3 linked regions of the Sus scrofa genome follow. The protein of the gene in region 1 interacts with the protein of each later gene in a biochemical or structural test. Links are inferred from orthologs where the notes say so. Each region holds a gene or a part of one and is shown on either strand. Other genes may lie near its edges. The genes, in order: YOD1, SNCA and USP21.

Evidence for each region.
Region 2: the proteins of YOD1 (region 1) and SNCA form a complex in vitro, tested with the Homo sapiens proteins (2 studies listed by BioGRID, with this or other methods). The link is inferred for Sus scrofa from reciprocal best matches to the Homo sapiens genes YOD1 and SNCA.
Region 3: the proteins of YOD1 (region 1) and USP21 form a complex in vitro, tested with the Homo sapiens proteins (2 studies listed by BioGRID, with this or other methods). The link is inferred for Sus scrofa from reciprocal best matches to the Homo sapiens genes YOD1 and USP21.

What each region holds. Positions count from the first base shown.
Region 1 is NC_010451.4:67,677,366-67,684,130, forward strand, and holds the start of YOD1 (ubiquitin thioesterase OTU1), read right to left. Parts: upstream 4,357-6,765; 5' UTR 3,936-4,356; coding exon of another isoform or gene 3,885-3,935; intron 3,878-3,884; exon of another isoform or gene 3,118-3,877; 5' UTR 2,763-3,117; coding exon 2,420-2,762; intron 1,420-2,419; coding exon 716-1,419; 3' UTR 1-715. Other genes in the region: PFKFB2 (6-phosphofructo-2-kinase/fructose-2,6-bisphosphatase 2), read left to right, coding at 5,775-5,862. UniProt on the Homo sapiens protein: Hydrolase that can remove conjugated ubiquitin from proteins and participates in endoplasmic reticulum-associated degradation (ERAD) for misfolded lumenal proteins.
Region 2 is NC_010450.4:129,244,471-129,251,424, forward strand, and holds the start of SNCA (alpha-synuclein), read left to right. Parts: upstream 1-3,253; 5' UTR 3,254-3,331; exon of another isoform or gene 3,332-3,455; intron 3,456-4,088; exon of another isoform or gene 4,089-4,816; intron 4,817-4,933; exon of another isoform or gene 4,934-4,955; intron 4,956-5,304; exon of another isoform or gene 5,305-5,628; intron 5,629-5,705; exon of another isoform or gene 5,706-5,798; intron 5,799-5,937; 5' UTR 5,938-5,962; coding exon 5,963-6,083; intron 6,084-6,954. UniProt on the Homo sapiens protein: Neuronal protein that plays several roles in synaptic activity such as regulation of synaptic vesicle trafficking and subsequent neurotransmitter release.
Region 3 is NC_010446.5:89,288,212-89,294,590, forward strand, and holds the end of USP21 (ubiquitin carboxyl-terminal hydrolase 21), read right to left. Parts: intron 5,972-6,379; 5' UTR 5,951-5,971; coding exon 5,351-5,950; intron 4,551-5,350; coding exon 4,491-4,550; intron 4,347-4,490; coding exon 4,226-4,346; intron 4,017-4,225; coding exon 3,905-4,016; intron 3,719-3,904; coding exon 3,563-3,718; intron 3,061-3,562; coding exon 2,996-3,060; intron 2,741-2,995; coding exon 2,637-2,740; intron 2,455-2,636; coding exon 2,368-2,454; intron 2,075-2,367; coding exon 1,996-2,074; intron 1,767-1,995; coding exon 1,659-1,766; intron 1,552-1,658; coding exon 1,437-1,551; intron 1,218-1,436; coding exon 1,127-1,217; 3' UTR 845-1,126; downstream 1-844. UniProt on the Homo sapiens protein: Deubiquitinates histone H2A, a specific tag for epigenetic transcriptional repression, thereby acting as a coactivator.

The sequences.
Region 1 (6,765 bases):
TTAAAACAATGAGGCCAATGGTCTTTTAAAGCTTCAGTAAGCTGCTCAGGCACCTTTTCCCTCATACATTCTACTTTTATACACTAGAAATCCTAAATTGGGCACTATCAGTTCCTATTTTTAAATAACATTCTCAAGGAGTAGACTGATCCCTGTAAAAATTGCTTGTTATGGACTTTGCATACAATGAAGTACACATTTATAAAGTCTACCAAATTGCAATATAAAATCAGTTTTGACAATTCTGAGCATCTTCATTAGAGGAATCTATTCATAATTTAGTAACGTTAACTCATTCCGAATTTTTAAAAGGACTCAATTACCGGAGACACTGTGGTTTATGTCCAGTGGCCTCCCTGAGGCCTTTTACATTACCCCAAATATGATGCTGTTTTCTTCTCCCAGTTAATGCCGCTGGGTGCTAATTTATAATACTAAAACTCAATCTTCAGGTTAGTGTCAGTAGGTAGCAAGGACCACCTATTCTGTCACCCCAGCAGAAAGAGGGCATGGATCACCACTGTAGACGCACATCTGTAAACTTGCACACTAATTTTAATCTTAACAAGGAATTCAGTGTCTTAGTGGTTTTAGGTTAAAATGATGGTTCAAGCATTGTGTCCTTTTACTCTTGAGGGTTACGAATAGCTTATTGGAAAACCCAGAGCCTTCTGGATCTGTGAGGTAGTAGGCTTCAATCCTCATCATGCATGGATCACACTTCTCCAAAGTTGGTATGGCCTGTCTCCTTGGCATGGTCCCTTGCTTCTGCTTGTCCAGTTAATCCCTTCTGACATACCATGCATCTCAGGGTGAAGCGGTTGACATCAGTAAATTGTCTCTTGCTTCTAGCTTCATCTGCTAATTCCAGTGCTTGTACAAGAACAATATCATCATTAGAGGAGAAAATGGTCAGAGGAGGGGTGTCTGGGTCAGGGAAGACACGCTGAAGTGGATCATAGTGGATGCCATCATATATAAGCAGGACCCGTTTGGTGTATCCTGCATCTTCCCCAAAACGATCAATTCTTACGGTCTGTGTATCCACTACACATATTTCGCATTGATAAAATTTAGACAAAATGGATATCTCAATAGCTCCACCCCAAGTATCATCCCTTTTGATCCAGTCACAGTACTCTTGATTTGTTTTTCCCAGTATTGCCTCACTATAGAAGTCTGGATCACTTGCTACGATTTGTGCTATGAGGCGTCTCATCTCCGGGGCACAAGCTGGATTCAAGACTCCTCCTTCAACAACATAGTACACACTGGTAAAGAGGCAAGAGTTGTCTGCTGGGACCGTTGTTCTGGTAAGCACAGGCAAAGGTTCCCTGACGTAACTAGGAGCACCATGTTTTGTAAATGCAGGTGATGTTTTGGGTCTGGTTTGGTCTTCTTCAACGATCAGCATGTCGCCTGTCAAAAATAAAACAAATCCAGAACTGCAGAGACATCATAGATGAAATGGGTATTCTCTAACCAAGTCTGTAAACTACAAACACGAGTTAAAAAGTGTAAGTTGGGGTTAGCAGGGAGAATACAGTTTTGCAAACATGTTTCGTCTTGTTTACTGAAATCTCCATAAAGATGAAAACAGAACAAAGAGAAAAACGTTTTAGGTTGCACTTAATTTAGTAAAGGGGCCTGAGGTATCCACCTTTATAATTTACTTGAAAAGACCCATTTCAAGAACAAAATTTTCTTAAGCTTGCTCCCTGCAGTTTACAAGCATAGATCGTCAAAAGATTTTTATTACAGAATAGGCCACTAGGGGGTTCTCTCCTTCTGAAACTTAATTATCTACTCTAGTGTTTACAGGGAGGGATCCTTGATATAACAGGGGAAAGGCTTTTAATTATCAATATTGCTGTTCAAGCTTTCATATTGGATAGAAATAACTTCTGTTGTCTAGAACTTAAAAAGGACTTTAGTAGATGTGTCAAAGCAAACTCTAAAATGAGTACACCTATCAAAGGAAGTATATATGAAGGTGACTGCAAAAATGAACCAGGAAAGCAAAAAAGTATCCTACATCCTTCAGACCTGCTGACACCTTTCAGTGATCTAAACGAAAACAGCCATCAGGACAGAAAATTTAAGTTCCACCTTTAAAAATACTTTTGTGGACGCAGAGGTTAAACAAAATGAATGAGATCTTTTCCAGACATACTAGAAAGCAGTGGGAAGGGGACTCCAAGCTTTGGGCTTGTCAGAGATCGGGCCCTCCCTGTCTCTTTCAACTGTACCTAACGTCAAGGAATTGCTAGACACTTGTCCCGACCTCCGTCAGAGTTCTGTTTTTTAACCTGTCCTCGTCCTCAAAGCCCCCAGCTGACCCATAGCCACCTCAACTGTTTCCACATGCCCTCTTGGTCTTCCCAGGACTCTGCCCGGTCCCAGCCTCGATCCCCCTTACCTGACTGGATGGGCAAGTCCCCCAGAATGGTATCCCCTTCGCTGAGATCCAGGCACTCGGGTGGGTATCCGACAAGGATGCGCTGACAATCGGGGGCAATCCCGGTGATGGCGGCAATTTGGCCCTGGAGTTCCCGCACCCGGGTACGGCTGGACAATCCCTGCAAAACATGTGTGCCATCCTTGGCCTTGCAGCGGAGCCGCCACATCGTGTCGCTCTGGCCGCCCATAGGCCAGACACCCGTGGACCCAGCTTTGGTCCCCGCAGCACGTTGGGAGACGCCGCCGGGGAAACCAGCCTCCCGCGGGACTCCAAAATGGCCACCCTTTGCCGGACCAAACATCGCGAGAAGTCGCTGGCTATAGTTCTCGCGACACTCCGCAGCTTCAGTCTTAGCCTATTCTTAAAGTGACAACTAGTTCCCACCCACCCCTACTTTAGGTGGCAAAGGGTGATGATTTAGCCGTATTCCTAAAGTGCGGCTAGTCTTGCTGCCTGTAGAACGAGTGAGGCACCTTCTGCGTTGGCAGAATATATGCTCAAGGGAAGAGGGCGGAGAACGGAGTTCCTGAATCTAATACATTGGAATGTAACCTTGCACTTAGGTCGGAAATTATTAAATTGGGGCTTCCAAACCACGCCGGATCATAGTTCGGAAGGCAAACGAATGCCAAGAATGGTCAGTGAGTCAAAAAGACCTGTCAAAGACAAACATATACTCGTGATTAGACGCATGGCTGCAGCAAACACTGACTCATTGAGGTTAAGGGACCCGGGGGACTGGCCTTTCCACCTTCATGAGCCTGCAACTTAAAAACGTCCATTTGCCACATCAGAAAGCGCAGTATGAGGTCAGCATCTGGGCCGAGGGCTATTCGGGAGGTGCTGGCAGTGTAAGAAGGAGGAATGAAGAGGGCTACCGTGTGTCATCCAGATTCCAGTTCGCCCTAGTTATACAAATACCAAGACGACTCCATTCCTGACTTCATTATGGCGAAGTACTCACGTAATCAGGAGAGCCGGTGAGGTGTAAAGGACACGCAACCCCTGTATTTCACAGCAACGTGATAATGCTAGGTTGTGTGACTTTTTCCAACCCCGTATCCCTAAACACAGGACTGTGCCTTCCAAGTAAGTGCTCTGTAAACACTTGCTGAATAGTTAGAACCAAGTTGTATAAGCACAGAGAAGGCAACTGTAACATACTGGGAGTTGTAAAAAGTTTCAACGAGTAGGTAATGATTTGAGCTGTTCAGAAGGATGAATTTAACCCCCAGGTGACAGAGGAATAAAAATACCTCTGAATTTCTCTCTCTTCCAAGAAATCCATACTCATTGTTCTTTTTCCATCCTGAATCCGAAGCAGCAAGGCCTACCCCGCGTAGAGACAGTTTATCAACAGAATCAAGCATCAAGGGGGCCTGGGGGCAACTGTGAAAAGTTCACTCGGAATGTGCAAACTCACCTCCACTGTAAAAGCCTCTAGATCTGAATAAGTTATATGGAGACTTTGCATCTTTTCAGATCTTTCATGACCCAATTTTCTCCTTGAGCAGTTTTTCTCTTTGGTTCTTCAAGATGACCATAACAGATGGTACAGTGTGAGTGGTAAGAGGGAGAATAAATAAGATGGTAAATCCACTGAAGTATGTGCATGGATCCAGGGAAGCTCCTGGTTCAGCGGTGAGAGTTGTTGATTTCCTTAGTTTACAGTGTCCGCGACCTGAGGCAAGAATATGCAAACACCTTAAGATGTATTGTGGTAGTTTACTCTAGCAAACACCTTCCAAGCTTACGTCCCAATTTACAGATCTAACAGATCCCGCTGGGATTCAGGAAAAAGCGTTAATCTCCGCAATGATTTTTCCGGTCACCCTCTCAAGACTTCTACTAGTTCATTCTCGCGAGAGGACGAAAAAACCCACAAAACTTACTTTTTATTAATCCCGCCCCCAGCCCTGTTAGTTGCCAAGCAACGATGCAACCAACCTCCACGGTGCTGGGAAACTTGCGAGCTTGTGATTTTTCCCCTTCACAGTTCTATCCTCCTTCTGGAGCTAGCGTCAGTGATTCTAATTTGAGCCCCGCCCCCTGAAGCCTGCTTGCTCTCTATTGGTGGACGATTCTCTCCAGGTGAGGACCAACGCGGGAGTGGGCGGAGCCAGGCGGGGGCACGTGATTTGCCGGCGACTGGTGTGCCGGACACCGGCCACAGTCTGTGGGTTCCCGTCTGCCGCGTTACCCGGTAGGTGCTGGGGCCACAGACGGGAGGAGTCTTAGGAGGGATCTTGGGGTGGCCGACAGCTGTACAGCGTCTTGAAGGGTCTAGGCGGACGAGAGGAGGGAGGGGCCGCATGCACCCTGAGATGTGGGAAGATGAAGCCTCGTCGTTTCGGGGAAGTACGGGCCCCCGGGCGTCGCCTGGAGTGCGGATGTTTAGGAACTCAAAGCTGCAGTTTATGTGAGTTACAGGATTTGTGTGGTTAGTGGAAGTACAGTGCAAGGTCCCTGAAGCAGTAGGACCTTCCTTCCTCACGAGTCCTTGTCCGGGTTTGTAGGGAGAACGCGTGGGGCTCTCCCACACTAGTTCGAATCAGGACTTACCCGTTATTCTGTAGGCGACCTTGGGGAAGTTATTTACCACCTCTTTGCTCCCCAGTGTTTCTTCCATGGACTGTTTCCCAGGGGATCGTTGGGGAGAGGGTGTGGACAAGGGCTTGAGAGTAGGAACACCAGAGGAGAAATGGTGACGGGTGAGGGCTGTCTCTGGGTCCAGTTACAGTTTTTCCTTCAGGGGATATGTTTGAGATTTTTCCCACTTCTCATTTTTTTCAGGACTGAATCCTCCCATTGGACTGCAGTTACTTTATGATAATGGACTTGATCTATTTGCAACTCACCCCACCCCCAACTGCTGCCACTACTCTCCCCAGATTCTTAAACTGGAATCTGAAGTCAGGAAGGAACTTGGATGAACCACTTAGTTTGATTAATCTCAGTTTTTCAATCTGTAAAATGAGGAGAAGTAATAATGGTAGCAAAATCTGTTTCATTACAGGATTGTTGGGAGGATTGAAGGAGATAATTTATTTGAGTGTAAACTCCAAAGTCAGCAATATAAATGCAAGCTTCTGCTGCACCTCTTCAGAGATGAGGAAACACAGGGCTAGGGGCATTCATGACTTATTAGGGCGTATAGCTCTTAACTGGGAAAAAGGCTGGACTTGACTCTTGGGCCAGGGTTCTTGCACTTATACCTCTCTGATCCTCTTCACTGAGTGTTTGGAAGGTTGTCTCCTTCCTTCTCTTCCTTATATCCCTTTTATCCCTTCCAGGGGTCCCCTGAAGAGCTGCCATGTCTGGGAATCCTGCATCTTCCTCAGAACAGAACAACAACAGCTATGAAACCAAAACAAATCTCCGAATGTCAGAGAAGAAATGCTGTGAGTGGTGGGAAAGAGGAAGGGCTGCCTTGTCCCAGGTTTTTGTCTTGGGAATATAGTTGTAATCCTAGACTTTGCTGCTCAATGGGAGTAAGAAATAAGTCTTTGACACGGGAATTTAAAACAAAGGCCATCAGGGGAATTTCCTGTCTGAAACAAGTAGACTCCGTGAAATGTCTGTCTTTGGTGCTAGGCTGCCCATGTGGCCGAGCATTTTCTTCCTGCTTTTGTTAACTGAATCTCTGTCTTCTGGGGGTATCTGTACACTCCACTGATGTTGAAAGAGCAAGCACTGTTGTATATGCAGTGAGTAAGACAGAGAGGCACCGGTACAGGGATTACTTGGGGCTGGTCCCGCTAACGGTTTCCCTTTATCGCTTAGGCTAAGTTTTGTGAGAGTGCTGCTCACTGCAGAAATTGCAGGTAGGAACCAGTCACTCATTTCTACAGACCTAAGGGGAATCAGCCTTGACATTTCACTTCTCGCCGTGTCTTGGGCACCTTACTTTCTCACAGGTTAACCTTTATACTTTGCAAACTATTTTCCCTGCAGGTTCATTCCTCTGGGGATGGGTTTCACAGGAGCATCTCCATGCCCATTTTTTTTAGACAGAGACAGCAGGTGGGTTTGCAGAGAGGTGAAGTGTCATTTCTTTTTTTCTTTTTTCTTTTTTTTTTCTTTTTGTCTTTTTGCTATTTCTTTGGGCCGCTTCCACGGCATATGGAGATTCCCAGGCTAGGGGTCTAATCCGAGCCGTAGCCACCAGCCTACACCAGAGCCACAGCAACTCGGGATCCGAGCCGCATCTGCAACCTACACCGCAGCTCACGGCAACACCAGATCGTTAACCCACTGAGCAAGGGCAGGGACCGAACCCGCAACCTCATGGTTTCGTTAACCAC
Region 2 (6,954 bases), on another chromosome or scaffold:
AGCAGAGAGTCTAGGTTAACCATGCATTTCATAGAATGTTAATCATTAGCTAAATTACTGTATTAAACTCAGATAAAATAATCCTATTAAAAACTAGCAAAATACTTGGATTTCATTTATGAAAGAGAACACCAATATAAATGTAGTCATTAACAAAATATGCACAGCAGTAATGCCTCCCCATAGGTTATTCTTCCATATTTCTTATGAGGTGTAGGTGATTCATGAGTTTTTGTTTTTTTTTTTTTTATTTTTTTTAGTTTCAATTTCAAGTTGTATTCCATTAAAAATTTACTCAAGCCGATGCTGTTGACTAACGATAGAAAATAAAGAAAACAAAAACAAAACTTTAACTTCGGTCCCCTTCTTTTTCCTTGAGTAATTCTGCCTCCTTAGGAATACTGAACTAAAAGACTACACGTAGAACAGAAGCAATGCCACTATCGATATTCCCAGTTATTGAAGGTTTATGGCCTGCTTGCTGCATTCAAGGCACTTTAAGGAATGAAAAGAGGAATAGAACATAGACTTATAATTCTGAATGACAGCAAAGTATTTTATCATTTTCTTTTTTGTGTGAGGGATGAGAAATCATCTTTCCCTGCAGATGATTAGCAGTACAGAAATGGCAAAATTTCAAATATGAATGCAGCGTTTTAGGACCCAAATGCCCCTTTATTTCCCTTCCCACGTCCAAATTCAAAGGTTATTTGTCACAGAACCGGGACTCACCTTTTTTCCTCCCACTCTATCCCATGCCCAATCTGTAAGGTTCCAGAGGGTTTGGCCAATTCAGGAGACAGTGTGCCTTCTGGAATAGTTCCTGCTGGATTATCTCAGCTCTGCCACATTTTCTGCCTTTTACCAAAATTTTTGGGGCTTTGGATTCCCTGTCTGCAAAAGGTACATAATAAAACTTAACTTTCCCACTTACTATGATTAAATGATACAGTAATTAGTTCTTTGCCAAGCATAAAGTACCACAGAAGGGTGTGGAATCATGCTATGCTACAAGAAGCACAAAAATGCTCAACACCTGCTTCAAAGTAATTCTCTCATTGGTCCGTGTAGGGTATAAGGTATGTCTCACTTTATTCACCCTTTTGACTTCTTAAGGAGGCCCCTGTTAAGCTATAAATATGTCATATAATTGAATATTTAATATTTATATTAAATAACTAGTTGTGATGTGTCACTCAGGAAAACATTTGTTATTGGCAGTAATAAAGGGAAATAATTGAAAGCAATAAAAACACCAACACTACTGGAGTTCCTGTTGCAGCTCAGTGGTAGCAAACCTAGCTAGGATCCATGAGGGCTCAGGTTTGATCCCTGGCCTTGCTCAGTGGGTTAAGGATCCAGCATTGCTGTGAGCTGAAGTGTAGGTTGCAAACGCAGTTTGGATCTCACGTTGCTGTGGCTATGGTACAAGCTGACAACTACAGCTCTGATTGGACCCCTAGCCTGGGAACTTACATATGTCATGGGTGTGGGCCTGGAAAAAAAAAAAGAGAGAGAGAGAGAGAAAGAAAAAGAAACACTACCAGTTCATGCAACAACACAGATGAATATTAGGCTAAGTAAATATAAGTAAAAGAAGCCAGATACCAAAAAAAAAAAAAAGTTCATACTGTATAATTTTATTTTTAAGAAATTCTAGAATATATACAACTTAAAAGGGCACAAGGAAACTTTCTGGGGTGATGAAATGTTTCATGTATTTATTTTTAACGGTGTGGGTTCCACTAATGTATGTCTTTTCCCCTCTCTCTTTTTATTGGAGTTTTTACTGAAGTTTTGTTGAAGTAGAGTTGATTTACAAAGTGGTGATACTTTCTGCTGTACAGCACAGTGATTCAGTTCTACGTGTACACACATTCCATTCCCTTTCAGATGCTTTTCCCAGCATGTATTTTTCAAAACTGTTTTAAGGGAACACTCAAGAGCTGAGCCTATCGCTGTTTATAAATCTTACTTAAAATTGAGAAAAGACCATTGAAATAGTATTGTTTATTTTAAAAGATTTATATTTTATGGATGCAGGGTTAAATATTTACAGATGAAAAGACATATATAATTCTTGGGATTTAGTAAAAATTGGGGGAAGGAGTAGTGATAAATATAGGGAATAGACAAGAATGCAGATGCACGTGGTTGACTGCATTAGAAAACAATGGAAGGAGTTCCCGTCGTGGCGCAGTGGTTAACGAATCCGACTAGGAACCATGAGGTTGCAGGTTCGGTCCCTGCCCTTGCTCAGTGGGTTAACGATCCTGCGTTGCCGTGAGCTGTGGTGTAGGTTGCAGACGCGGCTCGGATCCCGCGTTGCTGTGGCTCTGGCGTAGGCCGGTGGCTACAGCTCCGATTCAACCCCTAGCCTGGGAACCTCCATATGCCACGGGAGCGGCCCAAGAAATAGCAACAACAACAATAACAACAACAACAACAACAAAAAAAAAAAAAAAGAAGAAAGAAAACAGTGGAAGCTGGGTGATATTCCATGGAGAGTCCTTTATTCTATTTTTGTTTTTGTTTTGCTTTTTAGGGGTGCACCCGCAGTATATGGAAGTTCCCAGGCCAGGGGTGGCTGGACCTGTAGCTACTGGCCTATACTACTACTACAGCCACAGCAACACCAGATCCCAGCCCTATCCCTGACCCACACTGCAGCTCATGGCAATGCAGGATCCTGAACCCATTAAGTGAGGCTGGGGATGGAACCCGCATCCCCACGGATACTAGTTGGGTTTGTCACTGCTGAGCCACAACAGGAATTCCTATTCTCTCCATTCTTGTATGTTTGAACATTTCCCATAATAAAAAGTTGAAAAGAGAGGGATCATCTTGGTTCCTCTCCCTTTACAAGAGAAAACTGAACATAACTTGTATTGGCTCTCAAAGCCAAAAAGCAAACCAACTTCCAAGTTTCCTTCCAAGTTCCCCAGGAAACAAAATAGGAGCGTTTTTAGAAAGCCTACTTTTTAAAAGGGCCGACCATCAGTGCAAGGAGTAGGTTAAGCAATATATATACTTGCTTCCCATCTCTTTGGGTTTCAAACTGTTGTTTTTGTAGATTTAAATTACTTTTTACTCACATTCCAGAATGTGAGTCCAAGGATCAGAGAAATTCCCCCCCACACACACACAAATAAACACAAGACAAGCAAAAAAAAAAAAAAAAATCTGCAAAGACCTGTTTTTTCCCCTTCCAGTTCTAAAAGCATCCTCCTATTCCAGGCAAAGCAAGCAGAGGCAGTCTGTTAGGGGGAGGAGCTTGGTTCTCCATTCCGGTGTGATCCAGGAACAGCTGTTTTCCCTCCAGCTCTGAAAGGTGAAACTGTGTCAAGCAATGCAAAAATTGTCTTGAAGCTCGTGCATGTGTATGTCTGTGTGTCTGTGTGTGGGATGGGGTAGCCTGTCAGCCCCGAGGACAACGTGAATCAGTAGTCGGAAAGGTGAGTGGTATGTGGAATCTCTCTTTTCAGAAGGGGCCCATGAAATTGGATATGACGGTTCAGGAGACTCAGTCACTCTGGATTTATCTCTTCCATCCAGGAACAGGAATCTGGAAAGTAAATCCCATTCTGAGAACAAAACGCCTTACAGCCGCTGGGTTTCGACGGCTGGGGAATATTTATTCCTTGATCCACTGATGGGAAAAATCAGCGTCTGGCAGCCGCTGATTGGTGGAAAGAAAATGGTGATAGTGGGGTGGGAAGAGGATTTGACGAGCCTCCTCCTGCCTCCTCAACCTGTAACTCATCCTTACTAGTCGCCTCTCCACCTGCCGGACCACTTCGGGCTCAGGAGAGGTTAAGAACAAACGTTAAATCCGGAGAATAGTTAAACAAAAGCTTCGTTAACATTGTGTCCTAAGGACCCTTCATCCAATTTCAGTGATGCGAGGGAAACCTGCGCTTGGTCCTGATGCGGGTACCTTCCGAAGCTACCTGTCTCCTTTAGCAGCTCCCCGAAAGACTGGCGCTATTTTGGTGGTAGAGCCCTCAGACCCCACTTCCCCGGGCTGGCTCATGACGTGGGGGTCCGCAGGAAAAACCGGGGGGAAAGGCGGAGACTGGGAAGGAGGGGGGATGGGGAGAGAGAAACAGACATCAGACATCAGCCCAAGCCTCAGAGCTCCGGATCGCCGCCAGAGCCCGGGCGCCCCTGAACTTGAGGTGAACCGCCCAACACCCCACCTTCCAGTCTCCCAAGCCCAGGCGGGCGGCTGGCGTTGGAGGTACAGCCTCCCACCACCCCCATCCGAGAAGAGGAGTGAAGTGCACGCGGCGGGGAAAGCAACGCGCGCAGGGAGCGGGGCGGGGAGCGGCGCTGACAAATCCGCTGCGGGGGCGGGGAGCGGAGGAGAAGGAGGAGGAAGACGAGGAGAAGGACCGAGACCACTAGAAGGGGACCCAGGAGAGGGGGCGAGAGACAGAGCGCAGCGACGTGGGGGTGAGGTGTGTGCTGGCTTTGGAGCAGACCCGGGGACCGCGCCTTGCCTTTGGCAGCCTTGGCGCTCTTTCGCCGCCTTCCCTTCCTCCCTTCTTCTGCCTGGAATCCTCTCGTGCGGGGGACGGGGAGTGGCGATTCGACGACAGGTTCGCGGGTTCCCTCCCACGCCCCCAGCCTCTCCCCCCAGGGTTGTGCCGACAGCCGCCTCCGCTGAGGGCCATCCCTCTCCTGGTGCCGCCTCCACCCTTCCTGTGCGCTCCTATCCTCCTCCCTCCCATTTAAATAATATTTAGGAATTGTTTTTAAAATTTTTTAAGTGGGTGCGGGGAGGATCGGAGTTCTCAGGAGCCAAGGGAATCAGGTAAGTACCTGTGAATCTAAGTGGGCAGCTTGGGAAATCTTGGAGAAAACCTGGTGGGAGAAGAGTCATTGCGGCGCCTGGGGGGGGGGGGGGGTTAGTGCTGCGGTGAGGACCTGCCATAGTCGAGTCTCTCTTAGAGGTGGGCACTGACCCCTTTGGTGAGCTTGAGGAAAGTAAATTGACTCGGCTTACCTCTCTTCTCGTCCTCAAAGGCTGAGCGGTCTGGATTCTCCGGGATACGCTTTTCCTTTGGGAAAGTCGAGGATGCTCGAAGGATTATAACTATTCAACTTTTATTTCTTACTTTCCTTAAATCCCCCAGCCCACCCTCTCTGTTCTCTCTGTAAAGTAAGCAAGCTGTATTGGGCAAGCCTTTAAATGGAAGCGCAGAGAGAGCAAGTCAACAGGTGGGAAGGGGTTAACAGGTGCTGGGCGCCGGGTGGGTGGCGGGTTCAGCGGGCTAACTCCACCTCTGGCAGCTGGCGCGCATCCGGAGACTGCCTGCAGGTGTGAACGCTCCTGCTTGCCTGCTCAGGGTAGACAGCTGAAGGTGGGGTACAGCGTCCAGTGGGTGAGAGCCACTGCAGGTGGGCTTGCAGTTGGCCTGGGGTTCAGCCACACCCAGAGTGAGTGGTTCTCTTCCCACCCCTCTTCCTGATCAACCTGTTAGCTGTTTGGGGGATTTATTTTGAGTATCTCTGACCCCCCCTCCTCCAGCTCCTTTTTCCGTTTCCTGTGATCTGTCTTCTAAACGCACTTCTAACTTAACACCTTCATCGTTTGGACCCTGGGAAATTGAAAGGGGGGAGGGGGTAAGTCCTTTCATGTAACTCCACTTGGAATGCGGTGAGAACAACTCAGATGATTCATCCCAATCCATGTTTAGGAGGCTAGACTTCCACCAAACAAGATGGATGGGAGATGCTAAATTTTTAATGCAAAAGCTAAAAAAAGGCTGCTTTGTCCAGTGGTTGAAACAGAGGTACACCTACAAGAGTCCTGCATTTTTTTTGGGGGGGGGCGGGGGAGTCTACTGATCTTTCAGTGATTTTTACCTTGGGTGGTTCTAATTTCGTTTTGTTTTACCCCAAAGTTCTCAAAGTGTATTTTGTGTTCTCCAGTGTGGTGTAAAGGAATTCATTAGCCATGGATGTATTCATGAAAGGACTTTCAAAAGCCAAGGAGGGAGTCGTGGCTGCTGCTGAAAAAACCAAACAGGGTGTGGCAGAAGCAGCGGGAAAGACAAAAGAGGGTGTGCTCTATGTAGGTAGGTAAGCCCTAGATGTCAATTTGAAATTTATTTATGACTGGTGGGTTAGGGTGATTGATGCCTTAAATGCTGGTATTTCTCAGTTTTGCAGCTTCACTTGTCAAAATGATGGTCTGAGTCAGAGGTTTGTGTAGGTAGGTGAATGTTTAAGTTTGAGCTGATAGTAAAAAAGTGGGGCTGTTTTGTTTTTCCAGATTATTTAGCTTTGCAATAACACTTTGTACTTTGTTTCTTTTTTTTTAATGAATCTTTCTATGTGTAAGTAACCATAGTTCTAAGGACAGTTTTTAAAACTCAGTCTTTAAAATATTCTTATTCTTTTTTATTATTTGTTTTAACAAAGCCATAAGCTTTTGATTTCTTCTATCATGATAATATTTGCTAATTTGAGTGCATTCTAATTTAAAAATAAGACTTTGATATGACCTTGAGATACATAAAGAGAGACCTACTGTAGCCCTAAAAAGGAAAGGCAGAAAAAGTCTTTGATGGAGATACTTCTGGTGATGACCTGCTAAGCTGGGGACTCCAGAAAGTACTTGAGGGCTGCCATCTCTGAGCTGTTGATATAGTTCCTTTATCTAATGAGACACACAATAAATTGTGAAATTGATGGTTATCATTTCGACCTGTTTATAAATTCTCATCTTGGAATATTCTTGCAGACCCTCCCTGACTCTCTTTACTTTGAACTGTGTTAGGCTGGAACTTTATAAACCGCTTCACATTCTCTGAGGAAGGAAGGGGCACACACATATAGACACACTCATCCATAGAGATACACACACATACACATGAGGCGTACACTCACCCACTGCCAATTCTGCCTCTCTTCTTTCTCCTCTGAGCTTTTCCATATTTTCTGGTA
Region 3 (6,379 bases), on another chromosome or scaffold:
CTCCCACCCCTCGCTAGGCCTAGTGTTTTCAGTCCGCGGCCTCCGCCCCCAAGATTTTCGGTCTCTCCGACTCTCCGTCCACACTATTCTCGCGGCACGATCCTAACCTTACCTTTCCTGCTCCCGGATTGGTGGGTTCTGGAAGGCCCCGGATCACATTCACCAATGAAAACACTGAACCGGCAGCGACTCCTCCTCCCTCAGAGGCGGTGGGGCAACCCTTGTAGAAGGCCGGGGAGCTGGAGGTTAACCGGTTCGGTGCCAGGTTGGAGAGAGCGGCCATATTCGGTACTGCCCTCCCCTCAGGGCTGGAGCGGCAAGAGCAGAATCCTGGTTAACATTCCCCAGCTCAAGTTTGCCAGGTCCAGCTAGGGTTGGAACCCTGGAGGAAGGTCCTCATGAGTCTTGGTTGTAGGGAGAGTAGACAGGGACACTGGAGGCTGGTCCCCGGGGAGGTGGCTCCATAAACAGCTCCTTGATGTTAGCAACAGCCTGGGCCTACGGGAGCTAGGGCGCCCCGGCAACGTACCGTGTTTGTCAACAGGGGTCCTTGGGTGCTTTGCTCTCGCGGGGCAGGCCCCTACGCCGGCAAACCCCGTCGACCCAGTGCCTGCACTCTGGATCCAGGCCTCCCTGCAGCCTTCATTTCCTCCCAATGTAAACCTTCACCGCTTTGGCAAACTTGGGCATCAACGCGTCCCGATCCTGCATCCCCATCCCCACCCTCAGCCTCACGGCTCCGAGCGCCCCCCATCGTTTAGAAAGGGAACTGAGTGCCAGGAAAACTACCCATTCGGCCCAGTTCTATATCTCCACTCGCTAGGCACAAATACAAAGAACATCATTTTTTTTCTTAATAAATTTATTCACAAAAAAGTGAGACTGCAGAGGGTGTGGGGACTGTACACGGGCAGGGCCTAGGGAGCTCTGTACATGGGGCTGGGAGACAAGGGAGCCTCCAGGTGGAAGGGTACTTTTTAATAAAAAAAATAATAGGAGGTACAACCACCCCCTCCCCCCTCCCCGATTAAAAAGACACAAAAATAGACGTCTCTGAGGTAAATGGGGAGCCTGGGGCTTAAGGGTGTTGAAAGGATTTCACAGGTGCCAGGGATTAAAAGGGAGGTCACAGGCACCGGGGTGGCTCCTGCATCAGTTGGTAGAACAGCACGTAGCCCTCACTGGATGCCACCTGGTTTTCACTGACAGGGGAGACACTAGGAAGAAGGGAGATGGGGAAGGAGGTGTGATCTTTCCTGTATAGACCCTCCTCCCCACAAGATCAACATCACAGTATCCGGGTGGTGCCTAGGAAAGACACCGCCCCCACACCCCCAATCCCACATCTCCTTTCAGTAGGCACTGTCTCCTGGGGCTTCTTCATACTGGGGAAAGGTGTCAAGGCTGCAGCAGGAATGGGGCAAGGCTGTTCTCACCGAGAGTCATTGTAGACATGCCAACCAGTCTGGCACCGGCACAGGGCTGTGTAGTGGCCATAGTGGACGCTGCCCGAGTGGTTGCAAAGGGCATACAGCTGATATATGGGGCTTCCTTCAGGGTTAGAGATGACCAAATTCTATAGTTAGAGCTGTGCCCTGCTCCGCCATTCTCTCCCTCCCCTTCATGGAACTCCTCAGGACCCTCCTTCCCAGACTCACCGGCTTTGTCACTGGCAAAGTCCCCTAGGCTCAGTCGCTGCAGTGGGAAGTCTACACCTACTGAACTTTTCTTAATGGAGCCTCGGGAGGCAGAAAATCGATTAAGATCTAAGTTCTGGTTAAGGAGAATTTGGGAGGCAGAGGGCCTCTGAGGGGGCTGGGGAACTGAATGTTGTCTACTCCCCTCCCTGAACACACACTGGGAGCACAGGAGGGAAAGATGGAGTGGCAGCCTTTTCCTAAGGCAAACCGAATCCCCAAATGTCCAGCCTCTGCAAACTTGGAGAATGAGGAAAAAGAATGAATGGGAGAAATAAGAATTTGAAGATTAGGATACGGAGCACGAGGATTCGGGGGAATCTTTGTACTGTCAACTTTTTAGTACTTCGTGTTTTCTGCCGACATCGGTCACACACCTGAATAAATGTCAAATAATGTTATAAGGTTAATGTGCTCCTCACCTCCGTTGTCTTTTCCAATACCCTGACTCACATAAATTTACTGTGCTCCCTATTACTTCTGTGTTCTCTGGGCCACTGCCCTTTGCCCTGACAGATCAGGACATATCTGAAAAATACTCCTACACAAATCTTTACATATAAGTGTTACTCCTCATACTAAGGCATCATGCAACCCCTTTTACCCACATGGAGCCTCCCCCACCTCCGGTATCCCACCCTTACTATATCCCTTGTGAACCTCCACATACTGGGGCATTCTCCGATTCTAGCTCTTCTTCCTTGGTGAAAAGGCTGAAACAATCCCGCAGAGACACCTTGCCCCCAGCAAATCCTTTCTGGGGGGAAAGGGGAGTGAAGGGTCAGCATGTTCTGAATTTCCTTTTCCAACTCTTCTCAATTAACCCAAGCTTCGATTCTTCTCCAGAGACCCACATGGTTCCCTCCCACACTGGGGGTGGGTAGGGTTGGGTCATAGAACCCATGTCCCATCCACCCCCGGAATCCTCTGGAATCCCACCTTGGGGATGGGCAGGGACAGGTCACAAAAAACCTCGAAGGTCGTGGAGCGATACCCACAGGCCTGGCACTTGAGACAACTTTTCAACTGGCCCACAAACAGGTCTAGATAGAAGCAAAGGGGCAGGAGAAAAAGTCACTGTGGGATGCCCGAGATGCTTTCTGGCATTCCTGTCGCTTCCCAGCCCTTTGCCTGACCCTTCTTTCCCATCGCCAACTCTCCCCTCTTAACTCTCCCCTCTTAACTTTTCCACATTTTCATCATCTTATTCCCAGACCCCTCGACAGTCTTGATTTTTTCCTGCCAAGTCTTCACCCCCACACATGAATTTTCCCCCATCACTTTGTCTTGTTCCATACCCACAATCTTGCTGTCCTCTCGCTCCAGGTAACGCTTCCACATTAGGTTGGCTCGGTCATCATCACTACCACAGATCAAGGGAAGTGGGGAGCACCCATGAGACAGCAGGAACACTGGGCACCCCCAACACCACTGAAATGATCCACGGAGCCCTGTACCCCACCCATACCCCAGCTCCTTCTCAAAATTGCAAGGAAGAGTCAAACGAGTAACGTTTCAGAGAACTTTTCGGGGAAATCCACGTGAGAGGAAAAGAAAGGAACACAGACAAGGGAAGAACATGCCGTCTTCCTCCACCTGGCTTCAAACCCCTATGTACCTTGTAAATTAATTATCCCCTCCTCCGTCAATCTGGTGACAGCCACAGCACTATCTTCTGCCTCCATCTGTGCCCCTCAGTCTCCCTCCTCCTCCTGCCTTCTTCCTACTTCTGCACTGCTTCTCAAACCAAATTCTACGATAAGCATTTCCTTGGACTCTACATCCTCAATCCTGACTAGCTCACTTCTGCGAAGGATGAACGCTGTTAATAAACTATGGGCAAGAGAAAGGGGGCGCGACCTTACCTTAACTCAGGTTCTTCCAGCAGCGCCCCTCCTCGGCGGGGTGGGGAGGGAGCTGGACTACTGGCCAGGATTGGTGGAGCCCGGCGGCCTCGTCGGTTGATTTCTAGGTGTAGCCGCTCCATGAGGAGCTTCAGAAACTCTTGGGCATCCTGCTGGCTGCAGCCAGACAAAGAGCGTGGGCAACTGACCCCTGCCTAGTCCACAGTCACTAACCCGTGCCCAGACATCTGACCCCACTTCCTAGATAGAGCTCAAGGCTCAGAATGATGCTGCCAGGGCCCCTGCTTGGCCCTATCCCCAGACATGGGCAGAGAGAAATCCCATACCCTCCAGTTCTCCCACCTGTATCCAGAGAAGGAGGGAACGTATTTCTGGAAGACAGCTCGGAATCGAGTAGGATTCACAGCTTCACAGGAGTCAGGGTGCCACAGGGCACCAATCACATCTGCAAAGGCTATTAGGGTGGGAGTGGGGAAGGGAAACAAAGGTTAACGACTGGAAGAGGGAAGCAAGAGGGTGGAAAACAACTCTAGGAAAGCAGGCACTGTGAAAAAGACAAAACTGCTGGCTTTCAGGGTTGGGGCCACCAACACTGGCAGATGGACCTACAATGGGTTGGGAAAAAGAGGATTTGAAAGGAGGAAGCAGGAGTTGTTGCCCCACCTTCAGTAAGCTCTTGGGCTCGGCCCCCTCCAGGAACCTCTTGCCGGAAGTCCCTTCGCAGACAGAAGTCCCGAAGAGGCCGAGTGCTGCTCAAACACTGTAGCACAGCATTCAGGAAGCACTGGGGAGCAGCAGAGACATTGCCATTATCTCTCCAAACCAGTGCCTAGGAAGCCCTGGGAGAACTTCAGTGCCCTCCTTCCCCATGCCTGTCCCCAGTACCAGTTCACATTCCCATTAGGAAGGACAGGAGAATGGCTCTCACCGTGTTCCCCAGATTTCGGAGGCCAACGTGACCAGAGCCCAGAAGCAACGTGTGATGAGCCTGGAAGGTCAGAGATCAGTCAGCAGGTTCCCATACATCCCACCTGGCACTTTAATCCTTTTGACAGCATGCTGTCCACTGCCTCCCCCACCCCATCCTTCACCCCCAAACGCTACACTCTTTCCCTCACTGGGTATTGGGGTCTCCCTACCTCACTGGCCATGAGTAGTAAGCCCATCACAGCTGAGTGTACCACGGACTCAGCCATGGCTGTCCCACCTGTTGCCCACTTACTCCTCTGCCCAGCTAGCCGGCGATGCAGCTCCTGGGGCAACTCCCCAAGCACTGGCATGGTTGCCCAGCTGCTCCCCACCCCCACCTTGCTACCCCCAAGGCCCCCTCCTGCACCCGTGGCCCCTTCCTGCACCCTCTCCTGAAGGCTCCAACTGCACTCAGCCTAGCTCACTCAGCTCGGGAAATGGGCAACCACATTAGCTCAGATGTTCTGAACCCGCCCCTCTTCAGCTCCAGAGATTAATTAGACTTAGGTAGCATCCTAGGAGAGAAGGTACAGAAAGGGGAAGTAAGGGCCTGGGGACCCAAAGAATTCCAAATGGTTGAGTTAATTCCTTGGGGAATGAAATGGCACACCCTGCTGGAGAGTCACAGACAACCCTGAAAAGGGTCTATGAGGCTCAAGGGCACTTAAGTAAGGGAGAGAGAGTCCAAACTGCTGTAACAAAGGGTTAAAAAAATGAACCTGGGGAAAAAGGGGGAAAGAAAAGCCACATGATGGCAAGAAAGCTGGAAGCATGAAGGAACATGAGCATGGAAGGCCATGTGTGCTGGCAAGTCCTCACCATCTTGTCATCGGAGTAGAATGGCTCAGAGGGCCGGGCAGATATCACGTGGAAGGAGCCATGGGAAGTAGGGGGCTCTGTCCGTATGCTGAGCAAGGTGGGTGGCCCAGGAAAGCCCCCAAGGCGGCGGAGAGAGGTGCTGCGTCTCAAAGTGGGTGGCTCAGGCCGGAGAGCCAGGCGGCTCAGTGCAGCCCCTAGCTCTCCGGTGCCACGGTGCCCTCCCAAGGCAATCCCCATTGGACGCAAGTCCCCACTGCTCACAGACTTGGAACGGGCTAGGTTGGTCCTGGATGGGAGAGGCAGAGCCACAGTTGGGGGTGGTGAGCCAGGCAAGGGAACTCCATGATCTGCCCGAAGTGGGCCTCTGGGACGAGGGCCTGAGGTTCGTCCCCGTCCCAGCTCCAGTTTCTTGAGACGTTCCTCAGGGGGACCTGGCCTGGGAGGCAGAGGTCTTAACATGGGATTCGGCCCAGGGGCTGGGTTTCGGCGCTCCTTGCTTCGGGCCCTGGGAGCAAATGGTAGCTTGGATCCCACTCGGGGCTGGACATTAAGAGGTGGCTCTCGGGTCCGTCCCAGGCGGTGCTCAGAAGCCTGGGGCATTGTGGACACCACAGGCTGGACCTGGGAGGAGAAGAGAGGGTCAGCATTTGAAAAGGGAGGAAGGAGGGAACCTAGCCTACTATACCAGCTTCTACATACATGGAGGTCAGGAACCATGTCCACCATATCAATCATTGTATCCCCAATACCTAGCATAGTGTTTGGCATAAAGTAAATACTTAACATGCACTGAGTAAATGAACGAATGAATGAATACAGCAAGCCAGGGCTTTGACTCTTTCCACATTCCTCACTCTCTTCCTGCAGAATATGAGAGAGCCAACAACAGATAGTTCCTATCTCTGCTGTCTTCATAATCTAAATACTCATGAGGGTCCCGCATTCCTAGCTAGTCAAGTGGGATGCGCCCTGGGTCACTTGGGACCTCTGGTCAAAGAGGGGTGTGGATGCAAGTATAAGAGCCCAAAG